3 linked regions of the Callithrix jacchus genome follow. The protein of the gene in region 2 binds, or shares a complex with, the protein of the main gene of each other region. Links are inferred from orthologs where the notes say so. Each region holds a gene or a part of one and is shown on either strand. Other genes may lie near its edges. The genes, in order: TARS1, EIF4E2 and EIF4EBP1.

Region 1 (7,682 bases), on a different chromosome or scaffold from region 2:
AAAAATACGAAAAATTAGCTGGGCATGGTGGCGCGTGCCTGTAATCCCAACTACTCAGGAGGCTAAGGCAGGAGAATTGCCTGAACCCAGGAGACGGAGGTTGCGGTGAGCCGAAATCGCGCCATTGCACTCCTGCCTGGGTAACAAGAGCGAAACTTTGTCTCAAAAACAACAACAACAACAAAAAAAACACATTAGATCATTTGTTACACCCCCATATTCCATCTTTATGTTCTGCCTTGCTCACTGCTATACTCCTAGTATCATTACTGAATGCCCATAGATCTAGAGCTCTAGCTGGGCATGGTGGCTCATGCCTGTAATCCCAGCGCTTTGGGAAGCCAAGATGGGAGGAGAGCTTGAGGACAGGGGTTTGAGACCAGGCTGAGCAATGTGGCAAGACCTTCTCTCTACAGAAATCAAAATTAAAAAGTTAGCTGGGCATGTTGGCATGTGCCTGCAGTCCCAGCTGCAGTGAGCTATGATTGCACACCAGCACTCCCGTCGGGAGACCTGTCTCTTAAAAAAAAAAAAAGATCTGGGGATCTAATCAGGCATAGAAGATATAATACAACAATGATGTTGCATTTAAATGCTCTTCTGACACATAATTTATTTTTAACGAAAATGTTGTTAAAGGAGAGACAGAACCCAGGATGAATTGTAGCCTGTGAAAATCTTTAACAGGAATTCAAAGCTGCCAAATACCAGTGTCCTGGGCAGTTCATCGGTTTCAGAGCAAACTGCTCTTTCTCCACCTCAAAGGAGAACATGTTCTCACTGTAGTGCTGCCAGTGGCCTGAGGTCATCCAGAGTCGGCTGTTGTAGATGTTTGGGGTTACTACCTCCTGGAATCCTCTCTTCCTATATTCGCTCTGATAGAAAATAAACAGAACACATGTGTAGGCAGATAAAGGCTTACACTTCAAGTAGGAATAAAAACTGAAAGAGCAATTTTATACTCTCATGAAAAATGTGCACACATGCCATGATTCAGAAATCCCACTTCTAAGTACATACCAAAGACAAAACTCTCAGCACATGCAGATAAGAAGGGTTATGAAAGCGATGCTACCACAGCATGGCTGATAGTAAGGGACAATTCTACATCAGCGTCCATCAATACAGGGATGAGTGCACTGTGGTAGTTATATAGCAAAATAATATGCAACAAGCAAAAATACACTGGATTTGTATGTCTAAAGTAAATCACAGTGCAGTCTGATACACAGTGAGGCTTCCTGTATGCAACACATAAATACATAAATAAATGTGTACAAATACATAGGCTAGATGTAAATAACATGAACAAAAAGAATCCATGCCAACTTCAAAACTGGTATAAGAGATGCCAACATAAGCATATATATAATATACCAGTATATGGAGATATATACATCAGAAGAGGGTCCTAAAGATAGGCTTTTAAGCAACTTTTTTAAATATCGTGAACAAAAAATCTCAAGCAAATATAGCTCAATATAAGTATTTGTTAAGTTTGGGTATTAAGTACACAAGATAGTGGTTATACTGTTCTCTGTAAACTTGTATTTCAAACATTTCATAATTTACAAAGAAAAAAGCAACATAAAAACTGTTTTTTCAAAAAAATACAAATGAATGATCAAAGTCAAAGAGGACTCCTACATCAAGGACCAAAGGTCCCCCTTCATGCTCACCAGCTTCTTTGTATAAGGGCGAATCACCTACTAGGAATGATTTATAAGACCACAGACTTCTGCTTTTACTTATTATTTTATATATTTCTTCTCAAATACAGATTATCCTTCCTTTTAGTAGACCTTATTTAATAAAAATGATCATATATCCTAAATCTGAAAAACAGTAAATATGACTTACCCTAATGAAATCAATAAGGGCATTATAAATGTAGGCTCCCTTTGGCAGAAAAAAGCAACTTCCAGGGCTGAGTTCATGAAAGAAATATAGTTCTTGGTCCTGGGTAAAAGAAAAGCAAAAAAATGTTTATGTATGTCATGTATATGTGTGTGTGTGTGTATATATATATATATACATAAATTTCAGTATTCTTGAACTCAGAATATGGTCATGATGTGCCATATTTCAATCAGTGCCAACTCTGAATCAGAGAAACCACATCAGTGTTTCTGGTGGTTCAGAATTGCAGCTGATTTACAATTTGGCAGATGTGTAACACATGCCCTTCCTGTCACATTCCTCAATCCAATCAAGTTTCCCCAACGTAACAGGGAGTAAGGATCCCTCAGTTCTCTTACTATCCACTGCAGTCCCTCTTATGGTTCTTAATTCCTTAAAGCTCCAAGGTCTAGATGTTTTTTCATTTTCATTCTTTTTTATTTTCTTAATAGGTGGGTGAGGAAGGAGACTAGGAAAAATACCGATAATGAAATAGATGATGGTAAAGTTGGCTGACATTGGGTCATGGTTAAAGAAATACACCTCCTACCTTCTTGCCCAGCATCTCCCCCACACCAGCCAAATGCCCAAAAGCCCCCAGGGAAGGGCCCACCAATCACTGCTGGCTGCCTCATAGCTGGAATATCAGGTAGTCAGGGGTACAAGGGAATGGCTGATATCTCCAGCTCAAGCTTAATAACTTAACAGCTAGAGACTCCAGGCACAGAGTGACTATTTTAGGGAGAAATGTTTTATTGAGCCCAACTTCTAGTTCAGAAGACATTCAGGAGTAACAGAGATAATGGGTAGAGGAAATGACAGCACAGAATCCATGTGTGACATGCTATGTACCTTGGGCAACAAGTAGGTTATCCTTTGTGGGACACTGTTTCCACATTTTAAATGAGTCAGGAAGACTAAATTGTTTCCGAAGTCTAGTTTCCCCAGCTCTACGAGAAGCTGTATGCTTCTTTTATGGAAAACTATAGATCAAATCAGCATTTGTTCTCAATAAAAGTAGTTCAAATGAATTTCTGAATGGTACTGAACACACTCCAGGCAGATAATGTGGACAATGAGTAAGTATTTACAGCTTGTACAGGACATAGCACCAGTTACTAAAACGCTACATTATCTCTTCAAAACAAAATTCCTAGCACTTCATACAGCTAAATTTCAAACTTCAAATGAAACTGAAGATAACTCAGTCTAGACACATCATTGTTGTTGAACATACCCTGCCAATTTTCCTATGATCCCGGTTTTTAGCTTCCTCTTGGAACTTCTCCCACTCTTTCAACATTTTAGGATCTGGGAATGAAATGCCATAAATCCTCTGGAGAGTCTCCATATCTGCTTTGCCTTCCCAGTACGTGGAGGAATTCTGAAAACAAGGATTAACGATGAAACAACATTCAAATTTGTAAACATCTCATTTATTTTAACTCCCAATTGCTCTGAGGCCTTGTTAGAGTAGTTACTCATTCTGCAGCACAAAGTTGGCTGTTTTCTTCCCTTGAAAATGCCCCTCCCTCAATCCGCAGGTGGGTACAGTGGCTCACGCCTGTAATCCCAATACTTTGTGAAGCTGAGGCGGGAGGATCGCTTGAGCCCAGGACTTCGAGACCAGCCTGGGCAACACAGGGATACCCTGTTCTTTACAAAAAAAGGAAAATTAGCCAGGCATGGTGGTGTGTGCCTATGGTTCCTGCTACTCAGGAGGCTGAGGCGGGAGGACCACTTGAGCCTGGAGTACGGATCTCTGCTCACTGCAACCTCCATTTCCCAGGCGCAAGTGGTCCTCTATTCTGTCTTTTTGGGGCAAGAGAACGAGACCCAGTTTGAGGCAACACCCCTAAACTGCCCACCCCTCAATACTCAATCAACCACAATTCCACAAACATTACTTTGCCTGCAGAGGCATTTCTCCCAAAATGATAGAGCAGAAATAGTAATGAACCAATTAAAAAAAAATCTTGAAATGACTCAATTATTCTCTTGATTTAAAGTGCATTTTAATAACCTTCATAAAATGTTTATGAACTAGTATAAAACTGACTGGGTTTTATCAAAAAAATAACTTGGGAAATGATTAATTTAGACATATAAAGGGCAAAAGCACATACTTCTACAGTGAGTCTCAGAACTTTCAGAGCCAGGATGGCCCATGCTGTATGATTCTGTAAAACCTCCATCCCCTGTGCTTGCTCTGGCCAGTCAGTCACTCCTTGAGGGAATTTCAACTATAAAAACCTGATGGCATACAGCTCCCAGCTAATAGATAGCATGAGAAAATATATCATCCTTTCATGTGCAACAGAAAATGATAAAGAGAAATCAGTGAAAGTTTAAACACGTATCTATTCTAGACAGATACATTCACATAATCTTTAAAGTTACATTGCTTACTTTGTGTATTTTTAAAGCCTTAATTTTGCCTGTGTGTCTGACATGAGGACCCCGGCAGAGATCTATCAAAGGGCCACACCTAAAGATAAAATGAAAGGAATTTTAACAAAGACAAACTGACATACACACCAGATACATCTAATGATATGTAATATTCTCACCGATAGACTGTGGTAGTTGGAGTATTCACCTTTTCATTCAATATCCGACATTTGAACTTGTTGTACTGAAAATAGGAAAAAATATTTCTTTAAAAAACTGTCCTTTAATTTTTACCTCTAAGTACTATAGCTAAAACGTAACTCAAAGTATATCGCAACAAAGCACTGTATGAATATAAATGTTGACAGTGAATGCTTTAAAAACACGTTGGAATGGTTTGCTAGGAAAAAAATGAAATTAAAAATAAATAAATAAAAACACTTACATTTTTCTAAAGAACCAAATAGGCTTCATCTTATTACACTGAACCCCAGTGGTGTCACTTCAACTACCATAGATAAACGGTGTAACAGTGGAGGCACACACTGTGATTCAATTTACCTTAAACATTGCCAGTAAAGTTTCTTTCTTAACTTCCAGTCTTTCAAAAGCTTGCTTTTCTTTAATGATTTTCTTACATAAAGCCTCCAGAGAAGAGAAATCATTGCTAGACACGCCCCTGAAGAAGAACAAAGTATAATCTTTTTATTCCATTCGATCACACCGTGGCTTAGAGAAATGTGTATTTGGAAAAAGTATTTTGAATACTTGAAGGCTTTTAATACTAAAAAATTAGACTAAATTCTAAAAAAAAAAAAAACCAAAACATTTTTCCTAAGTAATTTTTACATTTTATATTTTCAGTGGCTTCTACCTTGATTATCCACAGAGACTTTTCTCACTAGTGACCCCCTTCCTGCAACTGTATCACCAGGTTTTAAAAGAGAGGGGAGGATCAGTCTCCTTGAATTTCCCAAAATACCTTAGGACTCTACCTCCATCAATCTAGAACAGAGATCTCATGAAATCCTCTATAACTTCAAGAAAATTGCAACACTTCAAGTACTGATAATGGGGATACCTGATGACTAAGAAGCAGTGAGCTCTGTATCATTCCTCGTTTACTGAGAATGCTAAAAATAATCTGGGGACCCACCGTCATTTACTTCATTTGTCTTTATCTAGTTGATAGCTTACCCTTCTTCAAGGTACATGTCATAATAGAATCCATTTTCTATTGGTGGACCATAACATAAACATCCACCATAGACTCTTTCCATGGCTTCACCCATTATGTGAGCGCTAGAGTGCCAATACACCTGAAAATTTAAAGAAAAGTGGCATGTTCTGAGTATTGGCATACAAGCTGTGAATTAATGTGGAAGGAGACAAAAAATATTTATTACAAGTAAACCCAATATATAAAAATCTGAATTTCTAAATCTACAAACTACTATGTGTTTCTATCCATAGCCAAACTTATTCAAAAGGCTTCCAATTACTGAAGTGTATTTTTATTTTGGAAATCATCTGGTTTAGCTGTTTTCAAACAAATTAAACTAAACTTGGCATCATTAATTAAATGGCATTGACTTTGTTCTCTGAAAACAATCACTACTCAAAATGTGACTGTCTCATTGACTGCAATGCCCCAGGTTCTTTTGAGTCAATGTGCTCACAGCACCATGTCTCAGACACTGTGATCTGGCCTTCAGCTGGCTATGGAACATCACTTAGAAATTATATGTTGTTACTGGCCCAAAACAAAGGTGGTACAACCTGACCCCACAACACAATGACAAAACACAAGGACACATATCTGCACGCTGAAATCAAATGGCAGTACTTGGTTTTACAGTAATCACTGGGATGAGTCAGAATACACCCAAAGCAACATTTTCAAGATTTATTATTAAGGTACTAAAGTGACATTAAAAAATTCTCATAAGAAACTTGTGGGCTCCAAAATATATTTGAAAACCACTGATCCACATACATAAGTGAGCAATCAGAACTAAAACAAAATATTTTGTCTCTCCTTATATGATACATAGCCACGGAGAAATAAAATCTTGTCATTAAATGTAGGTTGATTTTTATAGTGCTACCTAGCAGATTTGCATCTTAAGATGAGAAAAAAAATACAGAAATTGTTTAATAAGTGGAGTACCTTGAAATAAGGTTCAAATTTCTTTGTCAAATGTATGTATCTAGCTAAAGTGTTCATAGTTTAGAGGCCAGGCAGAGTGGCTCACACCTATAATCCCAGCACTTTGGGAAGCCAAGATGGGCAGATCACTTGAGGCCAGGAATTCAAGACCAGCCTGGCCAACATGGTGAAACACTGTCTCTACTAAAAATACAAAAATCAGCTGAGCATGGTAGTGTGCTCCTATAATCCCAGTTACTCAGGAGGCTGAGGCTGAAGAATTACTTGAACCCGGGAGGTGGAGGCTGCAGTGAGCCAAGATAATGCCACTGCACTCCAGTCTGGGTGACACAGCGAGATTCCATCTTAACATAAAACAAAATACAATAAAACATAAAATAAAGTGTTCATAATTTAGAAAGTAATTTTTACTTCCTTAATCAATGTTTAATAAAATTCCCAAAACATTTTCCCCACTTAAGTGTCTTAGTAGTGAAAAGACTTATTCAGATTTACCTCTTAATTTTCTAAGGCAAGCACTTTTATTATGTTCCCTAAATGAAGGACAAAATGAAGATTTCAAATATGACAATGAGACAACAATAAATGTTAGCTACCCAATTGCAGCAGTACTGAGCTGGAAAAGACTGCAAATGTGAATCTGTGCCCTAAAATTCAGTGAATACTAAATCAGCAACTTACTGCCTGAGCTTCCTCGTCCTCAAACTTGAGAAGTGCCAGGGTACAATCTTCTTCCAGAGGGCGGTCCAGGTCCCACACGACATTATTTACTTTAGCAATAACGGTGTTGTCAGCCAGGCCTTGACTTAAAAAAAAATGTCCACACATATATAAACACACAATAATCTAAAAAAAGCTCTTGTAGCACAACACTTAATTTTAAAACAAGAAAATAAACACTATTTTTATTATATATTGATTTTTTTTATATTGCTGTATCTCTATTTTTCTGAAATAAAATGAAAAAACAACAAACTCCAAAACTGTACCTAAGAATATAACTGGAAGATCCTAAAAATACAGAACACTATCATTTGACATTTAGTGCCTCTTTTTAAGCAGATATGGCAACTCTGATAAATAAGCATGATAAATTTCCAATGGTCTGATTATTCTTAATTACTCCAAATACATGTTTTTGTTTGTTTTTTTAACGTTTTAGAGACAGAGTCTTGCTATGTTGCCCAGGCTGGCCTCCTGGCCTCAAGCAATTCTCCAACAT
Region 2 (7,682 bases):
CTCATAAAAGGGTAATCCCTAAAGTACGTTTGACTGCTTATGAAGTAAGAACATATTCACTCCTTTTTCAGTCATTTATTTTTCCTTTTGATTTAGCATTTATTCAGCATCTTCTAGTGCTGCATGTTAAGGCAGCATCTTGCCCTGGGTGCTGGAGATGCCGAGATGAAATAAGACACTGCTCTAAAGGACCTCTGTCTAGTAGGAAAAACGGACATAGGAATGGCATGGTAGACTGAAGGGGTAGTGTTTGCAAATGGCACCAATATGGGAATATAGATTGCTAGAGGAGGCAGGAAGGAGGATCCTGGCTGGCGGGAGTCAGATTCTAGAGGGTCTTACATTTTGCTGAACTTTATCTTAGAGGGTAGGCATCAAAAGGTAAGAGACAATTACAAGTTTAAAGCATGGAAGTTAAATGTCAGATTTGCACTTAAAAAGATAATACTGGCCAGGCACAGTGGTGCTTGCCTGTAGTCCCAGCTACTTGGGAGGTTGAGGTGGGAGGATCGCTTGAGCCCAGAAGTTCTGGCCTGTAGTGCACTATGCCAACTGGGTGTCTGCACTAAGTTCGGCATCAATGTGGTGACCTCCCGGGAGCGGGGGACCGGCCCAGATTGTAAATGGAGCAGGTCGAAATGCCTGTGCTGATCAGTAGTAAGATCGCGCCTATGAATAGCCACTGCACTCCAGCCTGGGCAACATAGCGAGACCCCATCTCTTAAAAAAATGTATATTAAAAAAGATAATGCTGGTGAAAGGATGCACAGAGAGTACGAGATTTATGTCTGGAAGACCACTGAGGAATTTATTATATGATCGAGGTGTCAGGAGAAGAGCCTAAAGTAGTAACGGTGGAAAAGTGTAGAAGCGGCAAAGTGGATAGTAGGTTTGTAACCTTCATTTGAAATGCCAAAGCAGTTAGTCTTCTAGAGACTCTTCTCATTTTTTACTCCATTTTTGGCAGGGAAAACAATCCCTTAAACTGTCTACCTCCAGCAGTCAATAACTGGTTCTTCGTGTGGCTTTTTAGAAGACTGAAAGGCAGTGCTTTCTGGAGCTCACAGGTTAGCTGATGGGCATTTCATTTTTGTTTAATCCTCCTAACTTGCCTGTCTGTATTCTCTTGCCCTTCTCACATCTCAGAGCCTGCATTTGAGTGACTTTGGGTTGTTTACATAGTAGTTCATATGACCTGGTGGCTTTGTTCGGTAAGTAAGAATTGACTTGGTCACAGAATTGTATTGTTTTGCCTTTGTATTCAGTTTGAAAGATGATGACAGTGGGGACCATGACCAGAATGAAGAAAACAGCACACCGAAAGATGGTGAGAAGGAAAAAACAGAGCGAGATAAGAGTCAGAGCAGCAGCAAGAGAAAGGTGAGTTTTGCACTGCACAGATGTAGTTGCCTTTGAACTTGAGATTTGATTATCTTATGGAATCTGTTTATCTGGAAGATACCAGATTAACCTGACTAGCATCCTGTGTTGGAATATCTTTGTTCTCAGAAAAACACTGTGCAATCATGGATGTTCATTTTGAGACCTAGAGCTTTTCTCTCACCACAGGATCTTGAGATGGTGCCTTGCTTGCAGCATTCTCCTAGCCTGACATAGGGGAAATTAGCCCTAGAGCTTCACAAGGTTGTTAGCTGCTTCATAAGCCACTGCTGAGGGTTCCAAATCCTACACACTCCTTGAAATTTTAGTCAGCATTAGTCTAAGGTGAAAGCAATTTGGAAAAGGGAAAACTTGGTGAATGAGAGAGAGAGAGATCAATTTTTTTCCTTGAAATATCAAAGCAATCGCTAATTCATTTATTCTACAATATTGAGTAACCCTCCAAGGGCAAGCCATTTTATGCTAGATGCTAAGAGGACACAAAGGTGAATGAGACTGTGGCAGGGACTTACATTTAATAGTACCAATAATAACAATGCTGACATCTGTTGTGCACTTACTGTGCGCCAGGCACTGTGCTCAGCATCATGTATTTGTTAATTCATTTGATCCTCTTGTTATTATTTTCCTCATTTGCAGGTTTGAAGATTAGACACAAACAGGTTAAGTAACTTGCCTGTGATGAATCTTATAGAGGAGGCAGTGCTTGAACTAGGCATATGCTCAGATAAGATACAAACATGAATACCTAGTATTATATGAGGGAGAAAATTACAAAGGCCATAAGAACACAAGTGTTACAGGAATTTAGAATCAGTTAACCACTGAGGAAATGTACTGTGTGAGCAGAATCGTGGGCACATTGCAGGTAGTTAAGGTTGTATTTACTCTTTTAATTGTGGGAGTGGTAAGGATTGACACTGTAAATTGTTCTGTCAGTCTCAGACAATGTGGCAAATGCCAGGACTCACACGCCTTCTTTACTTCCCTCCCAGGCTGTTGTCCCTGGACCGGCAGAGCACCCCCTGCAGTACAACTACACTTTCTGGTACTCCAGGAGAACCCCCGGCCGTCCCACCAGCTCACAGAGCTATGAACAGAATATCAAACAGATTGGCACCTTTGCTTCTGTGAGTTCTTGGTGGTTTAATAACGTGCGCCTTGACATTTCATTCATGCCTGTATTGATATGATGTTTATTTACCTTTCTAGTAACCTATTTAGGATTCTGGTTTCCTTAATTTACTGACCTGAGGCTCCGAGGTCAGATTTGTTCAATCTTAGGTTTCTCACTAGATATCCATGGTTAACATGTAGTTATCAACAAATATGAGAATTGTCGAGTTGATCAGAAGGGCATAATACAAAAGTACGGGTTTGGGTTTTTTTATTTTTATTTTTTTAACTGAGACAGAGTCTCGCTCTGTCACCCAGGCTGGAATACAGTGGTGTGATCTTGGCTCACTGCAATTTCCACTTCCCAAGTTCCAACAGTTCTCCTGCCTCAGTCTCCTGAGTAGCTGAGATTACAGGCGTGCATCACCATGCCCAGCTAATTTTTGTATTTTTAGTAGAAATGGGATTTTGCCATGTTGGCCAGGCTGGTCTCAAACTCCTGACTTTAGGTGATCCGCCCACCTTGGCTTCCTCAACTGCTCACATACAGGAGTGAGCCATAGCACCTGGCACTGTTTCTTTTTGTTTTTCAGGGTTTTTTTTTAAGTAGGTAGTTAGGGAGTCCTTACCAAGTTAAAAGTGTCATGAATACCAAAGTTTATAGTACATGGTGTCTATCCTCATGAAGTTAGACAGTAAAATGAAAAATTTTGAAAGTTTTATAGTTAAGAACCTTCCATTAGGGTTTTGGCTGTGTTAATGATAATGCGTAAATGTTTTTCTTGTGTTCAGAAAGAAAATGAAATCTCTAATAATTGCTTTTGCGGATAATGTCAGTACAGAGAGCCCAGACCATCTCATCTCTCTCCCAGGTGACTTGGTTTGTGTACCCCAAGAATCCATCTCCAACTAACCCCACGCCAGTTGAACAAATGTTATTATGTACCCCCTGTATGCTGTACATTCGATCTCTAGGCAGAATCAAATGTGGGGTTTGTCATTTTCTTGACATTAGTGAAGTATTAGTCCTATTTGAAATGCAGAAACTAGAAAAGAATTCTTCAGTAGGAAATACAACAACAAATTGCTAAGGAGGAAGGACACATAATACGTATTAAGTTTATGTAATTTCCTTCAATCATTATGATAGCCTATGAGGTCAGTGGTATTAATCTATATTTTACAAATGAGGAAAGTAAAACTTGGGTTATATATCTGATCTAAAGTCTCAAATTGGCAGGGCATGGTGGCTCATGCCTGTAATCCCACCATATTGGGAGGCTGAGATGCGAGGATTGTTTGAGCCAGGAGTTTGAGATCAGCCTCATCAACATGGTGAGATTCTGCCTCTACAAAAAGCTTTTAAATTAACTGGCTTGGAGAGATGGGGAACATTAGAAAGAAAAAAAAAGGGCTGGCCATGTTGGCATGGACCTGTGGTCCCAACCACTCAGGAGGCTGAGGCAGGAGGATCACTTGAGCCCAGGAGGTTAAGACTGCAGTGAGCCATGTTCATGCCACTGCACTCCAGCCTGGGCAGCAGAGATGACCCTGCCTAAAAAAAGTTTTTTAATTTTCATAATTCACTGGATTAAGTTGGGGAGCCAGTATAATTGAAACTCAAGTATAGAAGCTTCTCGATAGCTGAATTCATGGAGGTGCCTGGAGGGTGTCACACCTGGAGGGGCCATAGAAGCTCCCTGTGCCTTTCTCCACACCTTCCCCTATACCCTGCCCTTCACATCTCTTCATCTGTATCCTTTGTTTATAATAAATGACTAATGTAAGGTACCAAGAAAGAATAGTCTTTTTCAACAAACAGTGCTGAGACAACTGGATCTCCAGGTGCAGAAGAACGACTTTGCATTCCTTCCTGACACCCTACACAAAAATTAACTAAAAATGGATCATAGATATAAATGTAAGAGCTAAAATTATAAAATTCTTAGAAGAAAATATGAGTAAATCTTAATGACCTTAGGTTAGGCAAAGCCTTCTTAAATAACACACTAAATGCACAAGAGCAAAAGATTAACTATTAGGCTAGGCATGGTAGCTTATGCCTGTAATCCTAGTACTTTGGAAGGCTGAGGCAGGAGGATCACTTCAGCTCAGGAGTTCGAGACCAGCCTGGGCAACATAGTAAGACCCCATCTCTATAGGATTTCATCAAAATTCAAAACTTTTCTGCTTCAAAGGACACTATCAAGAAAGTGAAAAGATAAGCTACAAAATGGGAGAAAATATTTGCAAATCATGTCTAATAAGGAATTTGTATCTAGAATACTCTTACAACTCAGTAATAATCTGCTTAATATGAAATCAACATCATTACTCTGCTGAGCAGATAAAATTTCAGCCCAAAGCAAAGATATTGTTTAGTTCACCAGTGCTATCTTAGTATCAAACAGCTTTGTTAAAATAATATAACTAGTTTGTGCACTGGTTCATATTTGGTTCAAGAAATACTTGTTGAATGAATTCCAGACCCTAGTAGGCTTCTAAAAGGAATAAAGGCACAGATCCTGTCCTTGGGGAAATAAGATGTGCCCAAGAATTTCTAATACAGGGTAGACAATAAGTTGTGCTATGGGAAAGCATGTAGAGTGCTCTTGGAGTTTGGAGGAAAGAAGGATTTGATTCCAGTTTGAGGAATACTGCCTTGGAAGATACAGGTTTACTACTGATTTTAAAGATTTTGGTCAGGCCTGGTGGCTCATGCCTATAATGCCAGCACTTTGTGAGGCCAAGGAGGATCGCTTGAAGTCAGGAGTTCAAAACTAGCCTGGGCAACGTAGTGAGATCTTGTCTCAAAAAAAAAAGGTGGGTTGCAATTTTATTTCCCTTTTGTGAAAAAGCATATATGAATACCTGGCTTATACAAGGAGGGTTTTTCTTTTCTTTCCTTTTGACATATATGTTAAGGAGTGGTTTATCATCAGGACTGTCTTGGGTTAAGGCTTCATCACTGCTCACTGGATGTGTGACAGTATTTAAAGTCTGTCATTTTGACTCTGTAGGTCTGGATCTGAAAAATAGAAATACAGTCTGTCATGTAATTCAGACCTCATTAGGAAATGGCTCACGATGTTAAATTCATCACAAAGAAATAATTACATGATGAATCCTTTTATTGAATTCAAAGCAGCGTTTCCCAGTGATTCTTAGCCTAATAATTAACAACATTTAAAAGTTACTAAAGTCAGCATGATTAGGAAGGTATCATCTTGAAATGGAAAGAGCACTGGACTTGGTCATCAGAGCTAACCTCTTCTGGTGCTTGACTGTCTGGGTTACAGCAACTCTTGTAACTGTTTTCTCAACTATAAAATAAGTAAAGTTGTTGAGATTATTTCTGAGGTCCTTTCTACACCTCATATTCTGAGTCTGAATGCTTATTTTTTGGTTTCAGTTAGAACTATCCAAATAAATCTTTTAAAGTTTAATAATACTTCTTAGGCCAGGCATAGTCCCAGAACCTTGGGAGGCCAAAGAGGGAGGATCACTTGAATCCAGGACTTCAAGACCAGCTGGGCAACAGGTTAAACTTCATCTCTACCAAAAAAAAGTAAAAAATTAGCTGGGCATGGTGGTGTCCACTTGTCTCGGCTACTCGGGAGGCTGAGGCCAGAGGATTGCTTGAGCCTTGGAGGTAGTGGTATAGTTGTAAGATTGGAGGAGACTAAAGTGTTGAAGTGATTGTTGACTGGGGAATTGGAAATGGTTGGTATACTTTCTCCTTTCCACGCCCCTTTCAGTTCCTTATTCACAGTGAGCCACTAGTGGGTGTACTTGGTTCTAGTGGAGAGATGTGGTTTTTCTGCAACTATGTTAGGGTGGATAATGGTTTAGATTATTGCTGATTGTATTCATATGACCAGTTGCTATCCCAAATCACTACATGCAGTTAAGCTTAGCAGTTGCTGAGATATGAAGCACTGCTTTGAAGTCCTATAGTTTCTGACTTCTATTTAACATGTAAGATGTGTCACATATTCTTGTGCTAGAGAGGAACTAAAGGGACAGCCATTTCACACAGTGTAAGGTTGATTTCTCCTTGGGTGCTCCTCAGATCTAGAAGTATGACCTGAATCTTGTCTACTCAATACCCATTGTCAGCTCCACAATTATGGTATCTTGCTATATGTTGATATCGAGCTCCTCAGCAGGTTGGCAAATACTAGCTATTTCTCATCAGACTGCACCATGTTTTCTCTTTCCTCTTAAAGTGTACCTCTTCACTGGCCAGTACTTAGTAGGTATCCTCTGTGAATAAGGAAGTTATTTCTCCTATCAAAACACTAATGAGCCTGTAGTCCCAGCTACTCGGGAGGCTGAGATAGGAGTATCACTTGAGATCAGGAGTTAGAGGCTGTAATAAGCTATGATCATACTGCTGTATAGACCCTGTATCTTAAAAAAAAAAAGAGTGGGGGGGGATGACACTAATAAGCAAAACGGGACTACTGTGATGAATACAAATAAGCATATACTTGATAGGAAAATATAAATCTAGCTTTCTCACAGGATTGTGAAGGAGAGGCAAGGAGAAACCTTTTTCTAGCTAAGAAGAAGGCCTTAAACTCTAGCTATAAGAAGCTAAGTCCTGTGTGATTTTGGATTGGCCCGGTCTTAGCGTGATGTGGAGTGGTATGTGTGGTATACGTGCTTGATTCTGTCACTTATGCTTAGTAACTAACAGCTCTAAGAGATATTTCACTCAGCAAATGCTGTGTTGCCAGTTAAACAATCTTTGATCAGTAAGTGATTTGGTTCTAAAAAATGCATTCCTGCTGAGGCTGTGTGGCACTTAATATACCTCAAGGCTAAAGAGTTTCCATTGTGCAAAAAGCTGTCTTCTTACTGCACGTGATGACTACCCCGCAGCTTCAGTGGGAAAGTGCATATTGACATGGTTTCACCAGCTGAAGGTCCTGGCTGAGCCTAGCATTTCTCACCAAAGATTTTATTCTTGTATTGCCAATGTTACATGTTTTCTTTTGTCAAACTAGTTGGTAGGCTTTTCCTCTAACATGTCTTCCCTCAGAATGCCACAAATGAGAATGAGTCCTCTGAAAAGGACAGCCTGTAGTATAGTGTCTTCCATGCTTATGTTCTTAACTTAATCTCAGTCTCTGGATGCATTCAAAGAAAAAGAAAAGACA
Region 3 (8,469 bases), on a different chromosome or scaffold from region 2:
TGTAATCTCAGCTACCTGGGAGGCTGAGGAACGAGGTTTGTGGTTGGTGTTCACTTATCAGGCAAAAAAGGTGGAGGCTGCAGTGAACCAAGATCACCCCACTCCAGCCTGGGTGATAGAGCAAGACTCTGTCTTAAAAAAAAAAAAAAAAAGGCCGGGCGCCATGGCTCACGCCTGTAATCCCAGCACTTTGGAAGGCGGAGGCGGGCGGATCATGAGGTCAGAAGATCGAGACTATCCTGGCCAACATAGTGAAACTCTGTCTCTACTAAAAATGCAAAAAAAATAGCTGGGCATGGTGGCGCATGCCTGTAGTCCCAGCTACTCGGGAGGTTGAGGCAAAAGAATTGCTTGAGGCGGGACGCGGTGGCTCATGCCTATAATCCCAGCACTTTGGGAGGCCGAGGCAGGTGGATCACGAGGTCAAGAGATCAAGACCATCCTGGTCAACAAGGTGAAACCCTGTCTCTACTAAAAATACAAAAATTAGCTGGGCATGGTGGTGCGTGCCTGTAGTCCCAGCTACTCGGGAGGCTGAGGCAGGAGAATTGCTTGATCCCAGGAGGTGGAGGTTGCAGTGAGCCGAGATCGTGCCATTGCACTCCAGCCTGGGTAACAAGAGTGAAACTCCGTCTCAAAAAAAAAAAAAAAAAAAAAAAAAAGCTTTGGTTCCTAGGCCCAGAACAAACACCATTAATGAGTAATCCCCCTTCCCCGCCCGGCCCCCAGAGGGCCATGTGGGACAAAGTTTACATGAGTAATCAACTATTTAGAGTAGAGACAAAGGAATGTGAGGTAAACCGACTTAACTGGGGAAGCTTCTATTATCACTAATCTTCACCCTATGACCTAATGCTCTAAGGTAAGGACCAGCTAGCTGCCTTCAGTCTGTCCCATTATTACAAGTTACTGAAAACCTTTCCGCCTTCCAAAAGGTTTGAGACTATAGTCTTTTTTTTTTTTTGAGACAGAGTCTTCGTTGCCAGGCTTGAGTGTAATGGTGCGATCTCAGCTCACTGCAACATTCGCCTCCTGGGTTCAAATGATTCTCCTGCCTCAGCCTCCTGAGTAGCTGGGACTACAGGTGTGCACCACCATGCCCAGCTAACTTTTGCATTTTTAGTAGAGATGGGGTTTCACCATGTTGGCCAGGATGGTCTTGATCTCTTGACCTCGTGGTCCGCTCGTCTAGGCCTCCCAAAGTGCTGGGATTACAGGCGTGAGCCACCGCACCCAGCCAAGACTATAATCTTAGAACTTCCCTAATATTTCCCTTAATATTTTGCCAACCACCCTGAGTGAACCCAACAGTTATACAGCCTTTTTGTTAGGGGAAAGGGAAGTGGGGAAGTGTGGATGATTTTAGGAGGGTTCTAAAGATTTTTAAGAAAATTCAGGCCGGGCACGGTGGCTCACACCTGTAATCCCAGCATTTTGGGATGCCAAGGTGGTCAGATCATGAGGTTAGGAGATGGGTTTCCCCATGTTGCCCAGACTGGCCTCAAAGTTCTGGGCCCAAGCAATCCTCTTGCCTCAGCCTCCTAAAGATCTGGGATTACAGGCATGAGTCACCGCGCCTGGCCTAGATATATATTTAAAAGGTCTTTAGGTGTTTTTCTCTCTGAATTCTGTTTTCTTCATGTGTTTCTGTCCGTCTCTCCTTCCTCTTGTCACCCTCTGCTGCCTGAGGGATGTTAAATATTTCTAACAGCCAGGTACAGTGGCTTACACCTGTAATCCTAGCCTTTTGGGAGGCCAAGGTGGGTCGATCACAAGGGCAGGAGTTCAAGAACACTCTGGCCAATATGGTGAAACCCCATCTCTACCAAAAATACAAAAATTAGCCGGCGTGCTGGCGGGTGCCTGTAGTCCCAGCAACTTGAGAGGCTGAGGCAGAAGAATCGCTTCAACACGGGAGGAAAAGATAGCAGTGAGCCGAGATCGCACCACTGCAATCCAGCCTGGGCAACAGAGCCAGACTCCATCTCAAAAAATAATAATAATAATAATAAATTTCAAACAGCTTGGGAGTCCTTAAAGAAAACAGAGAAGATGCCAGACTTCTTTTTAGGAGAAGCCCCTGTTTTTCCTTATGGAACCCCAAAGGGTAAACAGACAAGTTCCTCTCAGATCTTAACCTGCTGGCTTTTGTATCGAGTTACCTGCCCTTTTTTTTTTAACCTGGCTAATTTTTGTATTTTTAATAGAGACAGGGTTTCACCATCTTAGCCAGACCAGTCTTGAACTCCTGACCTCATGATCCACCCCCCATCGGCTTCCCAAAGTGCTGGGATTACAGGCATGAGCCACCGTGCCTGGCCTATAATGTATTTTTCTTAACCCAGTATACTCAAAATATTATCAGTTCAACATATAATCAATATAGAAACAAATTATTCAGGTATTCTACATTTTTTTTTTCACGCTAAATCTTTGAAATATTGTGTATGTTAAACTTGTGGCAGTTTGGACTGGCCACCTTTGGAGTGCTCAGTGTGTACCTGTGGCTAATGGCTACTGTGTTAGCCACTGTAGGTCAAAGTTTAGCTCAAGAGTGACAGAGGCGCGGTGGCTCATGCCTATAATCCTAGCACTTTGGGAGGCTGAGGCATGTGGATCACGAGGTCAGAAGATCGAGACCATCCTGGTTAACAGTGAAACCCCATCGCTACTAAAAATTAAAAAAATTAGGTGGCAGGCACTGGTAGTCCCAGCTATTCAGGAGGCTGAGGCAGGAGAATCACTTGAACCCAGGAGGCAGAGATTGCAGTGAGCCGAGATTGTACCACTGCGCTCCAGCCTGGGCAACAGAGCAAGGCTCCGTCTAAAAAAAAAAAAAAAAAAAAGTGAGACCAAACTCAACAGCTCTCCCCATCTCGGACCTTGCCCTCCTTGGCCCATCCCAAAACTCCAATGGCCACTAGTTATCGTTCCAAAAAAACAACTCTAATCATGTCATTCCCCCGCTTAAAAGAGTTCTGATGTCTCCTGCCTCTCTAAGACAACGTCCAAGCACTTTGACATGATTTGAAAAACTCAACGACCTGACCCCAATTTCCTTTTTGAAAAATTATTACGTATTTTTTAGAGATAAGGTCTCTGTCCAAGGAGGAGTGTAGTGGTGTGATCACAGCTCACGGGAGCCTCCAACTTCTGGGCTCAAGCAATCCTCCAGCCTCAGCTTCCTAAGCAGCTGGGATTACAGGTGCATCACCCAATTTCCCTTTCGAACCGTCCTCTCTTCTTCACCCTCTTCCCCACAACATGTGCACACAATGATAGGAACTTCTCAAACCCAACAAGTTTTTCCATCCTCGGTCCTTCTTGCATTTTTCTCTCTCCCCTTGAACATCATCCATGCATGCATCCATTCATCCAGCAAAGAGTACCTACTAAACATCCGTCAATTCAACCAAGAAGTACCTACTAAACCTCAGGCAGTGGCGTGGGTATTGGACCCAATTCAGGGGCTATCGGGAAACCTTTTGGACAAACTATTACTCCTCCCCTACGCGTCCCCCCTCCCGGCCGCCCCCAACTCTAAATTTAGCTCCCAGGACGCTGCTGGTTGGTTCACTCCTCCCACCCCTTCTCTTCCTCTCTAAAGGCCAGGAGCGGAATTGTTAGTCCCTCCACACCCATCCCCATCAAGGTCAAGAAATTGAGGTGGGGTGAGCATGACCAGTCAATCCCACTTTCTCATCTGAGGAACTGAGGCAACGAACAGGGAGTGCCAAAGGGTACACCCGGCCTGAAGTCTTAATGCAGAAACCGGGCCTTCCTGCAGTGGGCCGGGTCAGCTCGGATCTCCGCGCGGTCCTGAGTCACCGCCCCCAACCCAGACAAGGATTAACATAGGCGAGCTATTCCGCCCGCCACCCAACCCGGGTCCCTGCCAGAGTGGCGCCGAGGGACCCGAGAGCGGAGGAGCAGTCGCTGGGGGGCGGTATGGAGGAGCCCGTGAGCAGGCGGGCGTGGATCGGGGGGCGGCAGGAGAATCCACGTGCAAGCAGCGGCCTGGAGCTGGGTGGGGCTGCGGCGCGGACTACAAATCCCAGGGGCGTGGGCCTGGAGAGGCGGAAGGGGCGTCCTGGGGCGGGGCGGGCCGGGGCGAGGCGGAGCGAGGCTGCAGGCGCGGGAGGGCAGGGAGAGGTTCGCGGTTGCAGCGCACAGGAGACCATGTCCGGGGGCAGCAGCTGCAGCCAGACCCCAAGCCGAGCCATCCCCGCCACTCGCCGGGTGGTGCTCGGCGACGGCGTGCAGCTCCCGCCCGGGGACTACAGTACGACCCCCGGAGGCACGCTCTTCAGCACCACCCCGGGAGGTAGGCGCTGGCTCGGGGACGCCGCGTGCCGGCTCCCGGGAGGGCGGGAGGATTGGGAATCGCGGATCGGACCGGGCGTCCAGGCTAAAGGGTGCTGTGGCTGGGAAGAACGGAGAAGGGGCGTCGGGGAGACAGCGAGGGTCATGGAAGTGACCGCCCGGCTGTCCTCCGAGTGCGTCGTCCAGACCGGAGCTGCAAACTGCCCCGTTCGTTTCCTCTTTCTGTTAGGTGTCAGACAGCTGACACCTAACTAACAAGCACGCCTCCAGGACTGCCACGTGCCGAGCTGTGCTGCCCCTTGTGGATGTTGGGGGCGCTCCCCAGGCGGGATAGGGCGGGGTCAGTGTGGCCCACGATCCAAGAAAGGCTCGGCCTGGTGTTTTTATGGGATGAGTTGGGATAAATTTATTATTTATCTGTTGGGATAAATGATTTCTACAGGGCCCTGATTTTTTCCCGAGGCACCCCTAGTTTTGCGTTGGACACTCGCGCTCTGACGGAGGTTTGGGTCTGCGGGTGCTCCCCTGCTCCAGCAGCACCTCCCGGGCACCTGTGGCACGTTCCCCATTTATGCAAGTGAGATCTCCGCGGAGGGGCCTGTCGCCACGGGCCGGGCTGTGCAGAAAAGCACGTTCTTCTGTCCGGGGGGAGGAGGAGGCACCGTGTGACCTCCCTGGGAGAGGATGAGGAAGAGGAAGCTGAGCTGGCACGGGTGGGGTGGACAGCCTCGGGCTGCCCTCAGGAACCTGGCATTCCCTCCCAGCCCCGGAGCCGCAGCGCACAGGCGCTGATGAAACCTACGCTCCTGTTTGCATGATGAAATAAATCCTCGTGGCTCACCACTTCGGTCCCATCCTTGCACTGCCCCCACTCCTTTTGCTCCTCTGCCTCCATCCTCCTCCACGCTGCTTTCCAAACTACTGGAAAACGCGACAGATCCCGGCGCTTGGCTCGGTGGCGGTGGGGGCCAAATGCTTATTTTCTCAGGCAGATTCTGCCCCACCGGCAGCAAGCACAGCCGGATCCGAGGTCCTCTGCCGTTCGATCCAAAACATACACTGTTAGAACGGTTAGGGATCTTGTCCAACTCTGCCGCCTGTTCTACAGAGCCAGGCACTGAGGCCTCAGAGCTGGAACACGTGTCCATTGTCACACCGTTTTCCCAGATTGGGCAAGAAATAGCAACCAGGCAGAGAAAGGAGGAATGCTTCCTCTTCTGTTAGAAATGATCCGAGGAGAAGCTTGCAGGCGCTCTTGTTGCCACTCCCGACTCATCCTCTTTCACTTGTAGTCCATGCTGTTCTCCTTTGTCTCTGTCACAATGGTCTACCAGGCCAATTCCTGACACTTTTGGAGTTCTTTCAACTGAGGGGGTAAGTGTCTGCTGGATTCGTTCAGGGTGGGCCCTGAGGCTGGCCTGAAGGAACAGGGAGCCTCTTTTTGCACCCTTTGTTGCTGGATTGTTGGGTCAAATTAGAAGCCAGGGATACTGTTTATAGGCACTTCTGGCCGAGGTACCAAGATTCATGCCTGTAATCCCAGCATTTTGGGGAGGAGCCAAGGCAGGAGAATTGCTTTAGGCCAGGAGTTCAAGACCAGCCTGGGCAACATAGTGAGATGCCATCTCTACAAAAAAAAAACAAACAACAACAAAAAGAATGTTGTCCTAGCTACTCCAGAGGCTGAGGCCAGAGGATCGCTTGAGGCCAGGAATTGGAGGCTGTGGTGAGCTATGATTGACCACTGCAGACCTTATCTCTAAAATAAATAATAAATGTAAAATATAGGAACTTTGAATCCACTTTTCACTTTGGATTGGGAAGTGGAGAGTAGTCAGGGGGCTGACAGCAAATCCCACTCACTTTGAAGGTCTTTAGCAGTAGCAGGAAGGGAGAAGGGGCTTCTGCATTGGGACATGGCATATGTTTCTGAGATTACTGGAAGAAGCTAGCAGTGCCAGGAACCTAAAGCCAGCTCACTCTTTGGGGCGGCCTGTGGAGCAGGTACAGCTCCCAGTCCCTAAGCCAGGGAAATCCGGCTTACTTCTACTAAAGTCAAGCAAGCCTGGTCAGCCTCGATTAGCCAAGGTGTGGACTCTTCCTCCAAAGCCCACCTTAGCCCACTTCTGCCAGGGCAGAGAAGCTGAAATGGTCACATCCTGGGACCCTTTGGCTCCAGACCAGAATACTGCCTCTCACTCTTCCAGGTGCATAAGGATAACTGGGGTCTTCATTTAAGGTATATTCTGATTCTGTAGGTGGGGGTGGGGACTAGATTCAGCATTTCTTTTCTTTCTTTCTTTCTTTTCTTTCTTCCTTCCTTCCTTTCTTTTTTTTTTTTTTTTTTGAGACAGGGTCTCCTCTGTCGCCCAGGCTGGAATGCTGTGGTGCGATCTTGGCTCACAGCAACCTCCACCTCCTGGGTTTAAGCGATCCTCCCACCTCACCTCCCTGATACCTGGGACAACAGGCACATGCCACCCATGCTGGCTAATTTTTGTATTTTTTGGTAGAGACGGATGTTACACCATGTTGGGCAGGCTGGTCTTCAACTTCTGACCTCAAGTGATCTGCCCGCCTCTGCCTCCCAAAGTGCTGGGATTACAGGCGTGAGTCACCATGCCCAGCCTAGAGTCAGCATTTCTAACTAGCTCTCAGTGAGTAGTGCACATACCACACTCTGAGTACTCAGGAATTAGTGGAACATCACTTCCCTTACCTTTCAGATCTCTGGAGTCTGGGGGGAAAAAAGATGGTTCCATTTGAGATAAATTTTGAAGTTGGGTTCAGCATCCATCTCTAAATCATGGTGTGGAAAGCTGGGCTTTTGATAGAGTGTCTGCACCTGCTTACTTAGAGGGACTGTCAGCTTCTCAGGAATGGAGTAAATGCCCACCAATCACTCCTGCTGGGAATAGCCCTCAAGTGATTGTCCGTGGGTGGAAAGAAGCAGGCGTTGGGTTGAACTATCCCCATTTCTATAACTCCAGTTTGCTTTCTGTTTTGTTTTTTTTTTTTAACCTGAGATAAGGTCTTACCCTGTCACCCAGGCTAGAGTACAGTGGCATGATCCTAGCTCACTACAGTCTCAAACTCCTGGGCTCAAGTGATCCTCCTGCCTCAGCCTTGTAAGTAGCTGGGACTATTGGCACGTGCCACCATGCCCTGCTAAATTTTAAATTTTTTTGTAGAGGGGGGATCTCTCTGTGTTGCTCAGGCTGGTTTCAAACTCCTGGGCTCAACCAGTCCTCCCACCTCGGCCTCCCAAACTGCTGGAATTACAGGGATGAGTCACTTCTCCTGGCCTCCAGTTTGCTTTTCATGGTCATTAACCATTTGCACACTGAGGCCCTGCTCTGAGGTTAGCTGTCTGGAGTACTTAAGAGAATTTTGCCAAAGGGAGTGTCATGTATGAATATTTGAGTCTGTGGAGTCTTGGAAATATCCAGCAATACCGTAAACTGCCCATTAGCCAGTAGAACCTTTGAGTGGGTCAGAAAGAAACCTTCCCTCATCAGTCTCCCCATTCCCAGCTCCACGTTACCTCTTTGCCTCCGAAGCCTACAAACAGGGTTGGATGGCAGTCCTGCCTAAGACCTATGCCTGGATAAGGTGAATCAGAGGTGAGCAGGTAGGGCTGCAGGTGTTAATGGCACCCTGTTTGGTTAAGCAAACAAGGTCTGTGCCCAGGAAGCTTACCTTGGAACAGCTCCCAGGTCTTTGGACATGAAACAGTGCTGGGAAGAGGGGGACGTAGACTGGGCCCCAAAGCCACAGCACAGCCCATGTCCTGAGGCCGTAGTCACATAGAGGAAGTTATTATTAAGGATCGGTTAAAAGAGGGAAGAAGTTATTATTAAGGATCGGTTAAAAGAGTCTGGACATTAAATGCAGTGAGGGAGAAACAATGGGCCCTCTTCTCACATTGACCTGAGCTTCCTTTTAAAGTGTTTGAGGGAGCTGGGTGCAGTGGCTCGCTCCTGTAATCCCAGCTACTAGGAAGGCTGAAGCAGGAACATTACTTGAGGCCAGGAGTTTGAGACCAGCCTGAGTAACATAGTGAGACTCTGTCTGTGTAAATTAAATAAATAAAATTTTTTTAAGTGTTGGAAGCATTCCACACTGTGTCCCTAATTAAACATTTGG

What was found.
Region 1: the proteins of EIF4E2 (region 2) and TARS1 are in contact, whole or in part, in a crystal structure (PDB 5XLN), measured with the Homo sapiens proteins. The link is inferred for Callithrix jacchus from reciprocal best matches to the Homo sapiens genes EIF4E2 and TARS1. Residues at the interface, in NP_004837.1 of Homo sapiens: His54, Pro55, Leu56, Gln57, Val91, Glu92, Phe94, Trp95, Arg96, Glu149, Asn150, Leu153, Leu156, Gly157, Glu158, Gln159, Met161, Val203; in NP_001245366.1 of Homo sapiens: Pro51, Glu52, Tyr53, Ile54, Tyr55, Thr56, Arg57, Met60, Tyr61, Ile63, Leu64, Glu67.
Region 3: the proteins of EIF4E2 (region 2) and EIF4EBP1 are in contact, whole or in part, in a crystal structure (PDB 5NVN), measured with the Homo sapiens proteins. The link is inferred for Callithrix jacchus from reciprocal best matches to the Homo sapiens genes EIF4E2 and EIF4EBP1. Residues at the interface, in NP_004837.1 of Homo sapiens: Glu53, His54, Pro55, Leu56, Gln57, Tyr58, Tyr64, Arg66, Lys83, Gln84, Ile85, Gly86, Val91, Glu92, Gln93, Trp95, Arg96, Phe97, Ser99, His100, Met101, Val102, Leu107, Phe113, Glu149, Asn150, Leu153, Gly157, Glu158, Gln159; in NP_004086.1 of Homo sapiens: Arg51, Ile52, Ile53, Tyr54, Asp55, Arg56, Phe58, Leu59, Met60, Cys62, Arg63, Ser65, Val67, Thr68, Lys69, Thr70, Pro71, Pro72, Asp74, Leu75, Pro76, Ile78, Pro79, Gly80, Val81, Thr82, Ser83.

Annotation. Positions count from the first base shown.
Region 1 is NC_133503.1:171,861,733-171,869,414, forward strand, and holds part of TARS1 (threonine--tRNA ligase 1, cytoplasmic), read right to left. Parts: intron 7,266-7,682; coding exon 7,142-7,265; intron 5,610-7,141; coding exon 5,488-5,609; intron 4,970-5,487; coding exon 4,852-4,969; intron 4,535-4,851; coding exon 4,470-4,534; intron 4,388-4,469; coding exon 4,309-4,387; intron 3,284-4,308; coding exon 3,137-3,283; intron 1,960-3,136; coding exon 1,861-1,959; intron 876-1,860; coding exon 709-875; intron 1-708. UniProt on the Homo sapiens protein: Catalyzes the attachment of threonine to tRNA(Thr) in a two-step reaction: threonine is first activated by ATP to form Thr-AMP and then transferred to the acceptor end of tRNA(Thr).
Region 2 is NC_133507.1:153,933,245-153,940,926, forward strand, and holds part of EIF4E2 (eukaryotic translation initiation factor 4E type 2), read left to right. Parts: intron 1-1,265; coding exon 1,266-1,380; intron 1,381-2,396; coding exon 2,397-2,531; intron 2,532-7,682. UniProt on the Homo sapiens protein: Recognizes and binds the 7-methylguanosine-containing mRNA cap during an early step in the initiation. Acts as a repressor of translation initiation.
Region 3 is NC_133514.1:38,878,856-38,887,324, forward strand, and holds the start of EIF4EBP1 (eukaryotic translation initiation factor 4E-binding protein 1), read left to right. Parts: upstream 1-4,117; 5' UTR 4,118-4,179; coding exon 4,180-4,324; intron 4,325-8,469. UniProt on the Homo sapiens protein: Repressor of translation initiation that regulates EIF4E activity by preventing its assembly into the eIF4F complex: hypophosphorylated form competes with EIF4G1/EIF4G3 and strongly binds to EIF4E, leading to repress translation.